Linked DNA regions of Saccharomyces cerevisiae S288C. The main gene of each other region encodes a partner of the protein of the gene in region 3 in a complex. Each region holds a gene or a part of one and is shown on either strand. Other genes may lie near its edges. The genes, in order: MRPL32, MRP35, MRPL10 and MRPL6.

What was found.
Region 1: MRPL10 (region 3) and MRPL32 share a complex: the UniProt entries of both Saccharomyces cerevisiae proteins name them as parts of the mitochondrial large ribosomal subunit.
Region 2: MRPL10 (region 3) and MRP35 share a complex: the UniProt entries of both Saccharomyces cerevisiae proteins name them as parts of the mitochondrial large ribosomal subunit.
Region 4: MRPL10 (region 3) and MRPL6 share a complex: the UniProt entries of both Saccharomyces cerevisiae proteins name them as parts of the mitochondrial large ribosomal subunit.

The regions. Positions count from the first base shown.
Region 1 is NC_001135.5:116,530-121,068, forward strand, and holds MRPL32 (mitochondrial 54S ribosomal protein bL32m MRPL32), read left to right. Parts: upstream 1-2,090; coding exon 2,091-2,642; downstream 2,643-4,539. Other genes in the region: septin CDC10, read right to left, coding at 851-1,819; YCP4 (flavodoxin-like fold family protein), read right to left, coding at 3,046-3,789; citrate (Si)-synthase CIT2, read right to left, coding at 4,417-4,539. UniProt on the Saccharomyces cerevisiae protein: Component of the mitochondrial ribosome (mitoribosome), a dedicated translation machinery responsible for the synthesis of mitochondrial genome-encoded proteins, including at least some of the essential transmembrane subunits of the mitochondrial respiratory chain.
Region 2 is NC_001146.8:396,627-401,320, reverse strand, and holds MRP35 (mitochondrial 54S ribosomal protein bL35m MRP35), read left to right. Parts: upstream 1-2,950; coding exon 2,951-3,298; downstream 3,299-4,694. Other genes in the region: NCS2 (Ncs2p), read right to left, coding at 1-281; protein channel TOM70, read left to right, coding at 784-2,637; NMA111 (Nma111p), read right to left, coding at 3,643-4,694. UniProt on the Saccharomyces cerevisiae protein: Component of the mitochondrial ribosome (mitoribosome), a dedicated translation machinery responsible for the synthesis of mitochondrial genome-encoded proteins, including at least some of the essential transmembrane subunits of the mitochondrial respiratory chain.
Region 3 is NC_001146.8:101,724-106,765, forward strand, and holds MRPL10 (mitochondrial 54S ribosomal protein uL15m MRPL10), read right to left. Parts: upstream 2,380-5,042; coding exon 1,411-2,379; downstream 1-1,410. Other genes in the region: YNL284C-A (gag protein), read right to left, coding at 1-509; WSC2 (Wsc2p), read right to left, coding at 3,461-4,972. UniProt on the Saccharomyces cerevisiae protein: Component of the mitochondrial ribosome (mitoribosome), a dedicated translation machinery responsible for the synthesis of mitochondrial genome-encoded proteins, including at least some of the essential transmembrane subunits of the mitochondrial respiratory chain.
Region 4 is NC_001140.6:392,139-396,978, forward strand, and holds MRPL6 (mitochondrial 54S ribosomal protein uL6m MRPL6), read right to left. Parts: upstream 1,146-4,840; coding exon 501-1,145; downstream 1-500. Other genes in the region: snoRNA-binding rRNA-processing protein IMP3, read left to right, coding at 1,396-1,947; SKG6 (Skg6p), read right to left, coding at 2,317-4,521. UniProt on the Saccharomyces cerevisiae protein: Component of the mitochondrial ribosome (mitoribosome), a dedicated translation machinery responsible for the synthesis of mitochondrial genome-encoded proteins, including at least some of the essential transmembrane subunits of the mitochondrial respiratory chain.

The DNA.
Region 1 (4,539 bases), on a different chromosome or scaffold from region 3:
GAGAGAGGATGTGATTTATCAATATCTGCATTAAGTAATGAACTTTGCCCTCTACTGAGGATATTCCCACTAGAAAACTATAAAAAATGGGAGAAAGTCAATCGCTGTTCAGGATTCAACATAGTTGTTGACAACGTATGATAAGAAGGCCAGTCCAGTCCTCCTAAGTTAGGTTAAGGGAGGTAGGGAAAAACTGAAGTGTAATGATAATCGAGGATGAAAGTGTGCGGCCAGAAAAATCTTTTCTTTTTATATTAATCTGTAATAAATACAAGACCTATATATTAAAGTAAAACAACATTGAATCAGATCGCATACTGGTGTAGACGTGAAGTAGACATATGATAATCGAGCAGGGTGCTCAATTTGGTGTGGGACACGTTTGGGAAGGTTAAAAGAAGAGGTATATCCGGATTACATTTATTTTTGGCGTATTTTAATAATTTACTAAAAGCGCGAATAGCTTCCCATTAGCAACGCTCAGGGACTCTTTCTAATGTTTATAGTAATACTTTAATAAGATGAGTACCAATTGCTTCTCTATGAGGCACAATCCCTAACCAAACTTTTATTTAGAATTACCGGTAAACTCCGTTTTCTTCATAGATTAAATATTTGGCTAAGACAACAAAATGTTCTTTCATTTTACCAAACGAGAAGGTGATAGCTGTACGCCAGAAAAGAAGGTAAAAACTCTCGCCAATCCAGCAATACCTGTACCTCTAGTTTTCGATCGCATTATGTCATTATGTAAAACCAAGGAGAGAAGCAAGTTACGGTGTTTTCATATAGAATAATTTGAGAATTCTTAATAACATAAGATATATAATCACCACCATTCTTATGAGATTCAACGTTGAATGGCGTTGCTAGACATATGAGCTGAGGAACGACTATTCGCATTTTCTTTCAAGGCAATTAATTGTCTTGCTCTGAACCCTTCATAATGAATGTAGGAAGTTGTTTCGATTAAGTCTTGGAGATGAGTTCGAATCAAAAATTCCCTTAAATATACAAAATCACACTGGTTGATATCCTCAACATTAATAGCGCTCCAACGAGTTTTTCTTCCCCTGAAGGTTTCACCGTTTATTTCAATCTCATTCTCAGAACCAACCACTGCAAACGGAATGATAGATCTAACACTTCTGTTTAGTTCTAATTCCTCGTCAGTTAGTTCTTCCGAATCATAAGGATAAATCTTGAAATTGTATTTTTCGAATTCATTTTGAATAAGCTCCCTAAACTCCGTTCTTTCATCTAAAGTCAATGTATCCGACTTGCCAATAACTGGTATAACATTTGCTATTTCTGTCAATCTTTTCAAGGCTTCAACGTCAAGGCGGCTCAACTCCTTTCCATTTGGTTGCAGGAAATAAAGAATTGCATGAACTCTTGTATCAGTAATAAACCTTTCACGTTGGGCTGTCAATTCTTTACGTAAGTATTGAGAATGTTGTTCCTTAATGTACTTCACAATAGGCTCCCAAGCTTTAGAATTGTCAATAAAGTCACCAAATCCAGGTGTATCTATAACATTAATATTCAAGCGAACGCGGTCCTCCACAAGAGTATGAGTAGAAATTTTCATTTCAGTTGTTTTTGTAACAGGCAGGGCAGAAATATCATCACCAGTAGCAGAATCAATCAAATGTGAGGCAAATAACGTATTTATTAGAGTACTTTTACCCAATCCGGATTGGCCAACAACCATTATATTAAATTGAAAACCTTTCTTCAACAGACGATGTTCGATCTGATTCGTGATGGTATCAAAACCAACATAAGAAGCAGGCTGTACTGAGCTGAGAGGATCCATTAATATATTTATAGAGTGCTTGTAGTAACCGTGGGGCTTGGCCTTGTATTTTCTTGTCTTTGCCTGAAAAAAGTTAAGTATTACTGATACATGTTTACATATATTCTATTCAGCGATTCTGATCTATTTGTGGTCTCTCGAGGAAATCTCATCGTATCATACGATTATTTCCGCAAGCATTCAGAAAGCAAATCTTAATATAAGGCACAATGTTCCCAAATAATACCTTAACTTGGAGACAAAAACACCAGGGAATATCAGCAAACAAACTATGAATTCTTTGATTTTTGGTAAACAATTAGCATTTCACAAAATTGTGCCTACCACTGCAATTGGGTGGTTGGTACCGCTAGGAAATCCTTCACTGCAGATTCCAGGCCAAAAACAACTGGGATCTATCCACCGTTGGTTGAGAGAAAAGCTACAACAAGATCATAAGGACACTGAAGATAAAGATTTTTTCTCTAATAATGGTATTCTACTAGCAGTTCCTAAAAAAAAAGTATCACACCAAAAAAAAAGGCAAAAACTTTACGGTCCAGGTAAGAAGCAATTGAAGATGATTCACCATTTGAATAAGTGCCCATCATGCGGCCATTATAAGAGAGCCAATACACTGTGTATGTATTGTGTTGGACAAATAAGTCATATATGGAAAACGCATACCGCTAAAGAAGAAATTAAGCCGAGACAAGAGGAGGAACTTTCCGAACTAGACCAAAGAGTCCTATATCCTGGTAGAAGAGATACCAAATATACCAAGGATTTGAAAGATAAAGATAACTATTTGGAACGTCGCGTTCGGACTTTAAAAAAGGACTAGGCTCATCTTTCATCTAGTGGTTTCCTTTTTAAATAAACTTAAGCCTGTATATAGAAACTTAATTTCAAACTGTATATTTATTGTTTAAGACAGCATCAATGGTAGAATACAAGGAGCGGAAACAGAAAGAAAAGTCGAAATAGAATTTTTCGCTTTTGGCTTAACAAAATGAGGTCTTTGAAATCAAGAGTTTTGCTTGACAAAAAACAACTATATTTCAAAATATTAGGAAATGATATTATTAGTACAAGGACTTACAGAAATATACTTTTAATATAAAAAGGAAAAAATAAAATAAAAAGAGTTAATTCTTTATTAATTTTCCAACGTCCTACATTGATATATCTGCTGAGATAGAATTAATGTTAGTAAGAACTAAATATTAGACGCGAACTGTTGTTTCTTACATGACAGTACAGCAGGATAATAATCCTTTGTCCTCCTTCTTTTCTGCAGTTGTAGCTGCTGCAGGTTTAGTTTGTCTCTTAGCCGCATCAGAAGTAGTGGTCTTCTTTTCAGTGGAGGGCTTGGCTTCTTTTGCAGGGAAAAGTTTTTTGGCGGTTTCGTAGAATGTTTTACCTTGAATTTCAGCAATTCTCAATTCAAGTGGAGACGCAGTTCTTGAGCCGTCAGGTCCTGCAAGGGTACCAGCACCCCATGGAGAGCCACCGTGTACCTCTTCTATACTGGCTAACTCAGCAAATGAATTCTTATAACCCAGTGGTAAAAAGATAATTCCGTGATGAGCTAAATAAGACAAACAGGCTTTAACGGTACTTTCTTGACCACCTCCGTAACTGGAAGTACTAACGAATATCCCCGCAGCTTTGCCGTTCAAAGAGCCCTTGGCCCATAATCCACCGGTTTTATCCCAAAAGGCGGACCATTGAGCCGGCAAATTACCAAACCTAGTTGGAACACCGAACAAAAAGGCGTCATATTCGAGCAACGTTTTCTCAGTGGCAACAGGAATATCTTCAGGTTTCTGAGGAGCGTTCATCTTGGTGAGGACTTCATCAGGTAAAGTTTCCTCGACCCTGTATATATCAGCTTTACCACCAGCTGCCTCCACACCTTTCTTAACAGCTTGGGCTAAAACGTCTATGTGCCCGTAGGTAGAGTAAGTAATTATCGCAATCTTTACCATTCTTATAGTGCTTCAATTGAGTCTGTATTGTTTTGTTTACTCTCTTTTTTTTTATTGATACTAACCTGACCCCTCTTTTCCTTTTTCCTCTTCTTGTTTTCTTTCTGATAAAGTTTACAAACTTCAAATAAAAATGAACGTAAAACAAGTAAAAATGTAGGATGTTATAGTATCAACTAGCTGCCGGAATAGTGCAAATTGTATGAATCGAAATAAGTACGCTAGCCAAGGCAGTAAGGCCTAATGCCCTTAGGCAAATTTATTATTTATATTAAGTTCCAAGAAGGGGAAGCGCCTTCTTTCCCCGCAGTACAGTATTTTACCCGGAGGTTCTTAATAAGTTATTACTAAAAGGGTCATAACGGATTTATTAATAATGGGATTATAAAAATAATGCGTGTGTACCTAGTTATCGCGTGATAGCTTCCGCAATTTTCCAACCATTAGTAAATTTTATGTAACTAAAACGAGGAAGGAAATAGTAACGTTCATTTTCTTAATTATAAATATCATTATCATAGTGTATGGTTAAAAGAATATATTATTGTATTAAATAAGTGCTAAATACTAAATGGTCATGAGGAAAGAAAAATATGCAGAGGGGTGTAAAAGTAGGATGTAATCCAACTATAGTTTGCTTTCAATGTTTTTGACCAATTCCTTGTATTTCTCAGTAGAATAGGACTTTGGCCTTTCAATGGAAGCACCGATGGCCCTATCAGTGATCAATTGAGCAAGAATACCAAATGC
Region 2 (4,694 bases), 290 kb from region 3:
TGTTGCTTAGTTTGTTCCAATAGCAAGTCGTGCACAATATCTAACATAACCAGAGATCCTGAATCAGAATGTGATAAGGGGAGCAGAATCTTAGAGACGGATCCTTCTTTTTCAAATGGGTATATAACTTTAAATAGGTTCCTGAAATATTCATCCTTCATCATTTGTTTCCTTTGTTTAGTACTAACAAACTTGATGAAACATTCATCGCAAAACTTTTCCTTTCTAGACTCAACTGTCGCTGGATTTCTGGCAGATGCAGGGCACCTCTGGCACTCCATAACTTGATAGAATTATATTTTTAAAACTAGGATAGGGATGGACAATAGCAAATACAGAAACCGAAGTTAATTTTATGCTCGTCTCACTCATCTCATCGGTACTATAACAGTTTTTCACTGCGTAACTGAAAAAAACTCCATAATACGTAGATAATGATGATGTAATTAAGTCAACTATTCAAAAATAATAAAGATGACTTTATTGAAAGAAACACTGTGCAGGCAACTTCAAATGTTTCCATAAGGTTCAACAGTGTTATATCATTTCAGAAACAAACATTCAAGGATTAAGTGGAAGGAAAGAAAGAGTTTCATTGCCATTAGTTTAAAATATACAATATCACTGTATACGATGAATAAGATGGCGTTAAACCACCTTTTGTGTTTGGACGACCAGTGGAAAAGATCTTAAAGGAATTAAGAGGAACTCCACCACTCACCATAAAAGAGAAGCAAGATTCGGAAGTGAAATTACAGCTCACATCTAGGTTCTCAATTGCCAATGAAGAGCTTCATTACAAGGAACAAGACAGCCATTTTGGCAACCGTTGCTGCTACAGGTACTGCCATCGGTGCCTACTATTATTACAACCAATTGCAACAACAACAACAACGAGGAAAAAAGAACACGATCAACAAAGATGAAAAAAAGGACACAAAGGACTCTCAAAAGGAGACTGAAGGTGCTAAGAAATCTACAGCCCCATCAAATCCTCCTATCTACCCGGTTTCTAGTAATGGCGAACCAGATTTTTCCAATAAGGCAAATTTCACCGCTGAAGAAAAGGATAAATATGCATTAGCGTTAAAGGACAAAGGTAACCAGTTCTTTAGAAATAAAAAATATGACGATGCTATTAAGTACTATAATTGGGCATTAGAATTGAAAGAAGACCCAGTTTTCTACTCGAATTTATCGGCTTGCTATGTTTCTGTGGGTGACTTGAAAAAAGTTGTTGAAATGAGTACTAAGGCTCTTGAATTAAAACCAGACTACTCAAAAGTTTTACTGAGAAGAGCTTCTGCTAACGAAGGGCTAGGAAAATTTGCGGATGCGATGTTCGATTTGTCTGTATTGTCTCTAAATGGTGACTTCAATGACGCCTCTATTGAACCAATGTTGGAGAGGAACTTGAATAAGCAAGCTATGTCTAAATTGAAAGAAAAGTTTGGCGATATTGACACCGCTACTGCTACTCCAACTGAATTATCCACCCAACCAGCTAAAGAACGCAAAGACAAGCAGGAAAACTTGCCTTCAGTTACATCCATGGCCTCTTTCTTTGGTATTTTCAAACCCGAGTTGACTTTTGCCAATTATGATGAATCCAATGAAGCTGATAAAGAGTTAATGAACGGTTTAAGTAATTTGTACAAAAGATCTCCCGAAAGTTACGACAAGGCTGATGAGTCTTTCACGAAAGCTGCAAGGTTATTTGAAGAACAATTGGACAAGAACAATGAGGATGAAAAGTTAAAGGAAAAATTGGCCATCTCATTAGAACACACAGGTATTTTCAAGTTCTTGAAAAACGATCCATTGGGAGCTCACGAAGACATCAAGAAAGCTATTGAATTGTTCCCAAGAGTCAATTCATATATCTACATGGCATTAATCATGGCTGATAGAAATGACTCGACTGAATATTATAACTACTTCGATAAAGCGCTGAAACTGGACTCAAACAATTCTTCTGTTTACTATCACCGCGGCCAAATGAATTTCATTTTACAAAACTATGATCAAGCAGGAAAAGATTTTGATAAAGCTAAGGAATTAGACCCAGAGAATATCTTCCCTTATATTCAATTAGCATGTCTAGCGTACCGTGAAAACAAGTTTGATGACTGTGAAACTTTGTTTAGTGAAGCTAAGAGAAAATTTCCAGAGGCACCAGAAGTTCCAAATTTCTTTGCTGAAATTTTAACAGACAAGAACGATTTTGACAAGGCTTTGAAGCAGTACGATTTGGCTATTGAATTAGAAAACAAGTTGGATGGTATTTATGTTGGAATTGCGCCTTTGGTCGGTAAAGCCACTTTGTTGACAAGAAATCCAACAGTAGAAAATTTTATTGAAGCCACGAATTTATTAGAAAAAGCGTCCAAACTAGACCCAAGAAGTGAGCAAGCTAAAATCGGTTTAGCTCAAATGAAATTGCAGCAGGAAGATATCGATGAAGCTATTACATTATTCGAAGAATCCGCTGATTTGGCTAGAACTATGGAAGAGAAATTACAAGCCATTACTTTTGCTGAAGCCGCTAAAGTTCAACAAAGAATTAGGTCTGATCCAGTATTGGCTAAAAAGATTCAAGAAACTTTAGCTAAATTACGCGAACAGGGTTTAATGTAAACAGTAAACATAAACTTAAAAACTTTTAGGAGAAGACAAAAACTAAGTAACAAAGTAGACTAAATGACAAAGGAAGAGCAGCAATGACATTGACATCTCACTTTGAAAATTTTTGTTTTCATTTTTGTTTCAATATACACGTATGCATGTTCTAATATATATATATATATCTTTTTCTTTTTCTCTTTCATTCTGTAAATAATTAGCAGTGCGTATAAACCACAACCAATTTTTTCAACCTTGAAGCCCTCGCCAATTTGCGGAGCCTAAAAAAATCTGGTCAAATACAAAAAAGATAGTATATATATCTATCATGAAAATTAGCTTGCATAACAAACGGCAACGAGGAGACCAAAACCAAAACATGTCTGTTTTCAATGTACTCAAACCACTACTTAAAGGTTCAAATAGTTTCAAAGTGAAGCTCAACGGCTTTCTATTCAATAACGTTTCTACAATAACAATAAGAACTTTAATGAAAACTCATAAAGGTACAGCAAAGAGGTGGAGGCGTACCGGTAATACTTTTAAAAGAGGCATAGCTGGAAGAAAACATGGCAATATAGGCTGGTCCCATAGATCATTAAAAGCCTTAACCGGAAGGAAAATTGCCCATCCAGCTTATTCAAAGCATCTAAAGCGGTTATTACCCTATCATTGAAGGTGGAATAATTATGTTCTCCTCTAAACCAAACGCACCGTTAACCCCAAATCAATTGTTTGAGTATTTGCTTTCGGTCTTCATGTATATAAATAAGTATGAAACAATAACCATAAATTTATACAATCGATAATACCTTAGAGAATTCAAGCGTTGAAGTAATTAAATACTATTTCGTCAGGCGCTTGCAACCATCTCGACATCATAATCCTAACCCCTCAAAATGATTGAAAAACTTGTAAATCTTAACGCTCCTGTGATAGTCTATAAAAAAACTGTTCTTTATGGAAGACTTTGATGTATACATACATACATACATATATAAATGTTTTATCAAATCTGGCCTATTTTTCACTTTGGCTGTTGCCGGTAAATTCCTTTTCAATCCATTTGTGCGTGATGTTGTCCCTCTTCAATTCTGCAGTAGGGAAGTAATGATAATTCGTTTTCAGTGAAATAGCGAAGGGCACATTGTCGAAAGTCATTAACCTCATTTTACAATAACTATTATCAGGGATTGTTTTGACAACTTTCAAAAATGTATCTAGATCAGGTGTTTCAATTTCATTGACATGAGTTATGAAGTTTGTGGCAGATATACCGTACTGGAGCGCCGGTGACGATTCTCCCCTGAATGTACAGTAGACACCCTTTGGAACATCAACCATAGCTTGCAAAACAGCATGATGCGGCTTTTGTAAGATACTACCTGCAAATATTACAAAACGGTCGGTTTCCTGAACTTCCACGGTTTTAATTTTCAAATCAACAATATTACCATCACGAACAACTTTAAAATCTAACATGGCTGATGGCAAAATACCATCAGCTGAGCTTACAACTCCATTCAAATCATTCATTTCAGTGACTAATTTTCCGTTCACAGATAAAATGACGTCACCGGTCTCTAAATGAATCTTGTCTTCTGTATAAGAAACTCTAGAAACAGTGATAAACTGTAGCCTGTTATTTGATTCATGTTCCATACGCATGATCCATTCTTCGGGCACACCTCTAATTCTGGCTTGCAGAACGGAAATTGAACCGAACCCAGCATCAACTATACTTACTCTTGGTTTACCGCCATTTTTTAAGATATCTATAACTTCCCTACAGTCCATTATATCTAATCCCATCAAATAAACCTTTTCTTTATTTTCTAATCTTTCGCCTAAAAATGGAAGCCATAAACCTCTTACTGTACCATCATTATCTGTCAAAATACCGGAATTACATCTGGTGCTAACGTTGCAGTCGATAGATATAGCTTCTAAATTAGTGGCACGGTACCTCGGAATTAAATTACTTGGAATACTTACAGAGGAAATATCGGTGACAGTGGTCTCTGAAGTAACAATTCTATCATTCTGGGTAAAACCTATAAACTGAAGCTTAT
Region 3 (5,042 bases):
CTGACATATTTTTTAGTGGATGTCATATCAGAGTCCGCTGAGGATGAATCAGTAAATGTATTACCTGACTCAGGTGATGGAGTGCTCAGAGGCGTTCCAACTGATGATGGATACTGCGGAAACTGTGAATGTGGCCCAGGTGGAAAGTACATAGGCGACATTTGATAAGGTGTATACGGAATCATAGATGGGCGTCCGTAAAATGACCAACCAGATGGATTGGCTTGGTTTTGGGTCATCATGCACTGCTGTTGGTACGGCCCATTCTGTGGTGAATGTGACTGAGCAGTTTGAGGAGAGGCATGATGGGGGTTCTCTGGAACAGCTGATGAAGCAGGTGTTGTTGTCTGTTGAGAGTTAGCCTTAGTGGAAGCCTTATCATATTCTTGAATTTTGGAAGCTGAAACGTCTAACGGATCTTGATTTGTGTGGACTTCCTTAGAAGTAACCGAAGCACAGGCGCTACCATGAGAAATGGGTGAATGTTGAGATAATTGTTGGGATTCCATTGTTGATAAAGGCTATAATATTAGGTATACAGAATATACTAGAAGTTCTCCTCGAGGATATAGGAATCCTCAAAATGGAATCTATATTTCTACATACTAATATTACGATTATTCCTCATTCCGTTTTATATGTTTCATTATCCTATTACATTATCAATCCTTGCACTTCAGCTTCCTCTAACCTCGATGACAGCTTCTCATAACTTATGTCATCATCTTAACACCGTATATGATAATATATTGATAATATAACTATTAGTTGATAGACGATAGTGGATTTTTATTCCAACAGTGTTAAAGATCTATTAGTTGATCATGTTGGAATAAAAATCCACTATCGTCTATCCAAACAATTCTCTCAAAATTCGCCCAATTCTCAAAATTCACCCATTTCCCACACATATGTGTTTTAGGAACGTTTAGGATAAGGAATCGTCATACTGACGTACCTCATTTTGAGATACAACAAATCATATATTATAAGACTCCATGGCCAAGTTGGTTAAGGCGTGCGACTGTTAATCGCAAGATCGTGAGTTCAACCCTCACTGGGGTCGTTTATTTTTTTTGTATTTGTGCTTATTTACTAAATAACCATTTCACCCTGTTATAATAATGCTTAAAAGAAGAATGTAGTTTTTCTCTTTTCCTTTAACTGCTTTACTTCTCCCGAAAAAGCAAGATGCAATCTTTTAATATGTTTGAGTTTGCTTAAAGTATATTCACAAAAAAGAAAATAAAAGTTAAAAATTTCTGAAAATCAGGACCTTATTCGATAGTTGGTCATAAATTGACTGAAAAATAGAATAATTTCGGACACCAAATGAATCATTAACAAGACAATATCTTAAGGTATGTACAAGTGAGAATATTACTTATATATAAAACGGTTAACAATTTTTTAGTGGTCCAAAGCCTTGATGTTCATGACTTTAGAATTAGACACAACTGGCACCCAATCCTTCTCTGGAGACAGTTCTTCTAGCTCTATTTCTAATGAGCTCTTTTTTACATTCTGTTTTAAAAAGTGTCTAGAACCCTTATTTTGAGCTTCTTTGATATCTTGTAAGAGTTTATCTTTTTCCATTACTAGGTAACCTCTTTTCTCTTCTTTACTATAGAAATCAATATCCCTTCTTTTCGTGGGTCTAGCCTGTAGTGGTACTCTTCCCCTCTTCTCAAGAAACCACTGGGGGTTGAGATGTGCCCTTAGACCCAACGGTGTGTAGTAACGAGCTGTAAACTTACCTCCTGCTTTTTCAATAGCCGCAATAGCCTTAGCGGATGCTCTAGAAGCCTCCAAAGCAATCGGTAGATTGTAGTGGAACTTTCCGCTGGCTAGAATTTTAACTCCGTACTTTATGGGACCAGTTACCAGACCAAGCTTTCTCATCTTATTCATGTCTAAAACCTCGCCTGGTTGCAAATGAAGCCTATTTTTATCATGAAACCATTGAATGCGTTTCAAGTTTAATTCCTTTAATGGTTTGGCGCCAACGTTGGTAAATCCAATTTTAGGAAATAGCTTGTAAATTGGAGTTTGACCACCTTCAAACCACGATTTTACTTTACCACGCGCCTTTTGACCCTTTTGACCACGCCCTGATGTCTTACCTAAACCGCTGGAAGGACCACGCCCAAGTCTTTTGAAAGACTTTGTAGAACCATCTGACGGTTTCAATTGTCCCAAAATCGAAACATAACGATAACTTTGAAATGCTAATACCGGCGATTTGAATAAACCTCGGAAAAAAATATCGTTACCAGCTACGCTAGTTAACATCATGGACGGAACAAAAGTGTTTATTAGTTTGCGACCGATTACGGTTGTAAAACTATTTCTTAATCCTGTTTGCCTTTCCGCTTTCATCAACTTCTAAAGGTCATGAGCTTTAATTTTACGCACTGCGTTTAGTGCAGTTACCTGGAGTTTCAGCCGGGTAAGAAAACTATACGATTGCCAAATAGAAAAACGGATATAAAGATAGTAGCTGTGAATAGTAGCTTTGTATAGTACATAAAGGTACCTTATCTAACATTGCTTGCGACGCAGAATACGCAAAATATACTGTTTAATTGCAATCAGGAGTTTGCTACGGTATTTGGTATAATCGGAACTCATATTGTCCTACGTTCACCGAGACCAATGAACGCACAATAAAATGGATACTTGGAATGCCCTACCCAAAATATGAGCTGCGTTTGTTTTGTGAAAAACGAAAAGTAATTAAGTTGTTTTGCAGAAGTGTGAATAATTGGGGGACGCCATTTGGTTTCTCTCTTCTGATTGATTAAAGTTAATTTCGGCACAATAACCCAATGACTGGCTAGGAAACTTCTCGATGCATCCGTGATCTCCCAAGGACGAAATGGTTTTTATCACGTCCTAACGACATCATATGTCCTCGAGGAGAACTTCTAGTATAGTATTTATTAACAATGGAATCCCAACAATCATCAAATTATTCACCAAATATACACAGATTCTTATACTAACTAAAGTAAGAAGATTAGGATTTCCATACTCATTTTGTTAAGTAGCACTTGTATATCCGGTTTTCTCAAGTTCTGAGCTTCTATGGCCAAGTTGGTAAGGCGCCACACTAGTAATGTGGAGATCATCGGTTCAAATCCGATTGGAAGCATATTATTTTTATTCTACGGTAAACATGCCTGATGGTGATTTGAGACAGACCCCATTGCCTCAGATTTGTGAAGAATAGAAAATGTGTACATTCATTTTGATAAACTATACATATACTTAACTTTTTAACATGATAAATCAATATTGATATGGTCGGTACTGTTCACTTTATCTATATTTTTTTTCTTTCGTGCAATAATCGTCGGCTTTAATAATATTATACATACAAAGGGAAAATGAAGGAAAGAAATATGAAAGGATGAATAAGTCTTTGATATGAATATGTAGTGTTGGTATCTAAACCTAGTCAGCGCAAAGAACTATTATTGGAATCCTTTGCATCATCGTAATCATCATCACCATCTGAGACATTACTCCCAATATTTGAACTCACATTATCGGGGTTGACAATGTGTAGTTGTCTTTCTTCCATCATATCGGGCAGCGAAGTAGCACTGAACCTTTGGTTCCCGTTATAGATCGAAGGAGGCTCCTCGTACACTACCGAGGGAAAGTGACTTCTTTTGCTGATATTATGTGCATCACCAGTAATAATAGAATCTCTGCCGCCCGGCGCCCTTGTCGGCAGATCATAAGTGGCAAAAGTAGACGCTGTATTCTTGGACAATGCTGTATTATTCCTAGAGGGTATGTGCCAGTTAGTGCTCGAAGCAGACGGTGGAATAACAGGGTTAGCGTCAGCATCACCCAGTGAGTACGGCTGGTACTGCTTTGTCTCTTCCAAGTCCACATGCTGAGAAGATTGGCGACGTTTTTTCCATACGAAAAAGAATAACGCCAGAGCCAACAAGGCAACTGTACCACAAACCACACCTACTACGACACCTGCGATGGCGCCACCACTCAAGCCTTTGCTCTTGGACGAGCTCGATTTCCCGTTTAAGAGAGAACTAGTAGAGGAGGACGTAGACGATACTGTTGCATAAACAGAGGTCCTGGTGGTAAAGATCGTGCTTGCTTGTTGGTTAGCTTGAGAAACCACGGACTGCGTCACCACACGGGTAGTGTAATGCGTGGAAGTACCTATTGAAGTCGATGAGGGGGTAGAAGTGACCGTTGCTGTCGAAGTTGAGGATGAGGTCGATGTGGTGGATGAAGAAGTTGCCTGCGTAGAGGACGTTTCTGAACTGGAAGAGGCAGAAGTGCTAGAGGAAGTGGTGGAAGGAGAAGAAGAAGTAGAAGTAGTACTAGAGGTAGTAGAAGTAGTAGAAGTAGTAGACGTAGAAGAGGAAGAGGATGAAGAAGAGGAGGAAGTAGTTGTCTCTGAAGAGGAAGTGGTAGTGGAGGTTGTAGACGAGGAAGAGGATGAGTGCGTAGCAGAAGAACTAGTTGAAGTTTTCGTGTCCAATTTCGTGGACGTTTTTGAACTAACACTTGTGCTTGATGAAGATGTTGTCGATGTTGAGGTAGCAGTAGATGAAGTTGAGTCCGCGGTAGAAGCAGCGTTATTGATATAAACGTTCATGGCAGAAGAACCACCACAATTTTGGTAGGGCCAGCCAGCACACGAAACATCACATTTGCTCGAATCTACCTGCGTCAAAGACTGTAACTGAGCTACGGAACCACCACAGTAGCAACCTGTACCGTTGAAAAGAGCAACGACAGCCTGACCAGGGCATTCATTTTGACAGTAGGAAACTGATTGATACTCGTAAACACCCTTGTAAGTCAACCCCAATTTTCGTATATCACTAGCTGAATAGCAAGCTTTATATGTGAATTGGTCAGCCAACGCGGCTCGTATATATATGAGCCACACTAAGATGAAGGACTTGTGTATGAGATCTAGGTGCATATTCCACTTCTATAATGCTGTTGGTCAAAAAGAAATTCAAAGAAGAAACAATTAGAAACCAGAAAGTCTG
Region 4 (4,840 bases), on a different chromosome or scaffold from region 3:
AGAAATTGGAAGGTACAGCATTTCATTTACTCACTTATTTGATCTTTTCTTTTGTTTTCTGGTAAACATCTTTGTTTTAAATGGGCTCTCTACAACAAAACATGAAAAGTACTCAAGAAAAAAAATCTTTATTAGCGTTGGAATCAAAAAATATATAGCATTAGCAGAACGTTAAAGAGGATATTTGGTTTCTAGTCTAAATGGTGTTCCCTTTTCGAAACTGTATAAAATGAAAGGTAAGGTTCGAACTTCTGTGGCCTTACTTATTGCGTTCATATTCCGTGAAACTAGTATATATTAAAGGTTGCAAGCCAAGAGTTTCATTGAACACCAAAATGTTTACCAAGCAAGAACACGTCACCGCATTAATAACCAATATAAATTTCATTTAAGTTATTTTCATAGGATATTTACAAGGTATTCCCTATAAAGTATAAGAAAAGATACATGTCATAAAAAAAATTACGAAAATGAGTACGAAAATAACTGAAATCCTGAAGTTATTTGATTTTCTTGTCCTTTAGCTTTATTGTTTCATCGTTAACGTATATTCCTTTGCCTTTATACGGCTCTGGTGGATGGAATTTTCTCAATTTGGCAGCAAAAAGAAGGACCTGCTGCTTATTGCACCCTTCAATAATCAGAGACGTGGGAGCAGGTGTTTTGACAACAATACCTTCAGGAACGTCCAATCCTTGTTTGATAGATGCACCCACCTTAACGTTGACAAATTTACCATCATTTTCTAATTGAGCTCTATAACCTGTCCCTACAAATCTAAGGACAGCAAGATGCCCCTCAGTAACACCTATAATGTGATTATTTATAAGTGATCTTACTGTACCCCACATCGAACGTTGATGTTTATCTTCTGAATTCTGAACTGTAACATTTATTTTACCGTGCTTTTCATCCTTGTCCAAGTGCAAAAAATCAGGGACCTCCACGGACAATTCACCCTTGGGTCCCTTTACTGTGATATTCTGTGATATATTCATTGAAGTTCTACCTTTTCTGATAATCCTGGGCATGGATAATGCATTTATGGAAACCTGAACTTCAGGAGATATATAAAGTGGTAAAGACCCCACTTGAGAGCGCAGAAAAAGTGTTTGCGACAATAACCTCCTCTGAATAAATGACATAGGTTGGCCTCAATTCCTATAGTAAGATTTGCGATAGCTTTATTGCGTGATCTTCCCTTACTTACTAGTATTTGATATTCTTCCTCTATAACCGTAGCGTCTCCTCGCTATTTCCGCTCGCCTTTCATTACCCTCTACTTCCAGTGAAAAAAATTTCACTGATATAAGCTCATCGCAACAAAAATTCAATGGGATAAGTAATATAGAACGTTCTAAATAGATAAACCACCAGGCATAATCACAACCAATAATGGTTAGAAAACTAAAGCATCATGAGCAAAAGTTATTGAAAAAAGTAGACTTCCTTGAATGGAAGCAGGACCAAGGCCACCGGGACACTCAGGTCATGAGAACATATCATATTCAGAATCGTGAAGATTATCATAAATACAATAGGATATGCGGTGATATTCGTCGTCTTGCCAATAAATTATCATTATTACCTCCCACTGATCCATTTCGTCGCAAACATGAGCAATTATTACTGGACAAGCTATACGCTATGGGTGTCCTGACAACTAAATCAAAGATTTCTGATCTGGAAAATAAAGTTACTGTTAGTGCCATCTGTAGGAGGCGATTACCTGTAATAATGCATAGATTAAAAATGGCGGAAACTATACAAGATGCAGTCAAGTTCATTGAACAAGGGCATGTTCGCGTGGGTCCAAATTTGATCAACGATCCAGCCTACCTCGTAACGAGAAATATGGAGGACTACGTTACTTGGGTGGACAACTCTAAGATCAAGAAAACCTTGTTGAGATACAGAAACCAAATCGACGATTTTGATTTTTCATAAATTGACTACAAACTTACGTTTTCTGTATCAATACTCGATTTATCATCTTCCTACATTGTGAAATTATTACGAATAGGCAACGAGGCAGCAAATACAAATGATGTGAGGCGCCTGAGCTTTCTTAAAAGCTGGAAGCATGAAAAATTGTTATATACACAAAGGAACTTCTTCGTCGTATGCAAAAATAAGAAAAACCGCAAAACAATTTCTCATCGGCGTCATTTGTTAAATATGCCTTAAAACTTAAAAATACACTTCGAAAAAATCCTATTTAACATAAATTAATTTGTATAAATACGCAATTTGTAAAATTTCTCCAATAAAACATCAATTTATATATCCGATAATTGTCCGTTCATTATCTACACTTCAGTTGACGGTATAATTATGTGAAGAGCCTAATTGTTTTCTTAAATCGTCCTGTGAACCACTATGTGGCAAAATTCCACCAACACTTGGTGGCTGTACAACATCTGTCTCTTCTAATATCCCACTAACACGAGAATTATACAGTTGCTGCTGCTGCTGTTGCAGATAGATATTATTTTGTGTGGTCAGACTGTTATTTCTTGAATTGGTTGCGCTTACACTTCTGAAAGAACCTGCTGGCTTATAAGATGGTTTTGCCGTCAAATCCGAAGGATTGGTCATTACCACACTTTGTCTAAGTTGATAAGGTGAAGGAACCGCCCCATTTTCGTTAAACTTCATATATTGGCCTTGCTGCTGTGGAGCATAATAGGCATCGTTTGTCGGTGAATAAAACATTTCCGGATGATCGACCGGATTTAACGCAGTTCCGTTTAGTCTGGCAGTCTGTAATTGAAGAAGTTGTTGCTTGTTTGGTCTTTTAAAAGAGGTCAATGAATGCGAGGAAGCTGATTGAGCTAAATATGCGGGAGTTGGTAATTCTCCAATAGTTTCCAGGGTCTGAGGATGATTATGTTGCTGTTGTTGAGGAGTTGGTACACCGTACCATTGTGGATTTTGCACGAATTGCGCAGTATACCCCTGTTGCTGAGGATTTCCGCTATATCCATTGCCAGGATACTGTGTGTGGCCATTATATACTGGTGATTGTTCCTGTTGTTGATATTGATCCTGATAATTCAACGGCTGAATTGCTTCGGAATAAATTGAGGAAGCAATTCTATTGGAAGGCGCTGCTTCCGTATCGTTCACGGTGAGTGTATCCTGCACTGGATATTGTTTCTGGCTTTGGGCCATTTCTGGACCATATTCTGCCAAGTTAGTATTGTTTAGAGGAAGTGCTTCTTTCACCAGGTGTTTTGCTTCCGGTACCTCATTATTGTCGATATTGTCGTTATTATTAATTTTGATAGAAGGCAGTGGATTCTGGACTATATTATCCACTCTATTCTCCTCCTGCGATATATCATTTGCATTATCTGCTTTATCCTCTTCCTTTTTCATTGTTTTAGCTCTATCCAAATAAACTTGATAAATACTTTTCATTCTCTTAATATCTTCTTCTTCATTAGGGGATAAGAGTGATACATAGTAATCATCATCTTGACTTTTACTGCTACTACGATCATTCATATGTTCAGCTTCTCTGATATCTTGAAGTTCATAATTATCATCATCCTTACCAAAACGCAGATTCCTTTCATGTGTCTTTTCTGAACTATTATCAAGTTCGAATTCGAACGCGTCATTGCTTGCAGACTCATTTGACTCATTCAAAACCTCAGCCTCTTCACTAACTGAGGACGAATCATTGTCTTCATTAGGAAATGTAAACTGCTTGTTGGCACCTTCTGTGGCAGAACCACGGGAAAGCTGGTTATTATGGATTGGGCTACCGTGAGATCGAAAGCTTTCACTCTCTTGAAATCTTGAAGACGCTCTTATTGGTGTACAATTCGAAAAGTTATCAGGATGCAAGGACGTTTGACTGGCATTTCTAGACTCGGCCGCAACTTTATAGCCACCTAGTCCATCTTCTTGTACTCTCATGGCAAAATCTCTCAAACTGTTAGAGTCGTTCGATTCCTGTGGAAGCTGAAACGGGTCTACGTACCATGACCGACCAATTGCAGGTGGGGTAGCGCTTCTCACATTATATTTACTACTATGCATGCTACCAACAAAGGGATCTGAAGGCGGCTGTTGCAAGGTCTTTTCCATGAAGTCTTGCTGCGAGTCGCTAGAGTACAAATGATTTATTCCAGGTGAATAATCCTTCATTGTCGGTAAAAATTCAGAATCTCCTTCGAAATCTGGATCATTATCTTCCTCAGCTTCCTTTTTGCTTCTCCTATACACAATGCAAAGTATCACAGCCAGAACAATGATAATGACACCTACTGGTACCGCAACAGCCACACCAACAGTTACACTGGTGCTGTGACTCGAATCTGTGGGTAATTGACATTGCTGTTTAGAGCCTGTACATTCAGCAGATTTGCTATTTTTCGTGCTGGATGCTGAGGAAGAAGATGAATCGCTATCGTCTCTTCTAGTGAGCCTTGCATAAGCATAAGACGCATCAGAAACACTTACCGTTGAAGTCACAGATATTAAACTTTCATGCATATGGGTGTGGTACATCGCGAACTATATCTTTGTTAGAACTATGTGACGCTATATGAGTTCAACGAAAAACTATGAAAGGTAATGAAAGAATGAAAAGAAGAACCAGTGAAAAATTCGATATGGATAAAGACAAGGCCTGCTCCCCACAAAAGCTTCACCATGAGTTTGTTATTGATTATTAAAAGTTCTTATTGAGATAAAAAGAGAAAAAATACGGAAGAAACCTTGTCTTTTCGATGAACTTTCCTATTTGGGTGAGCAGTTTTCCTCTTCGAGCTGCAAAAAAGTTTATCGCTTCGCGAAAAAAAAAAAAAAAAAAATTTAAAGAATTTCA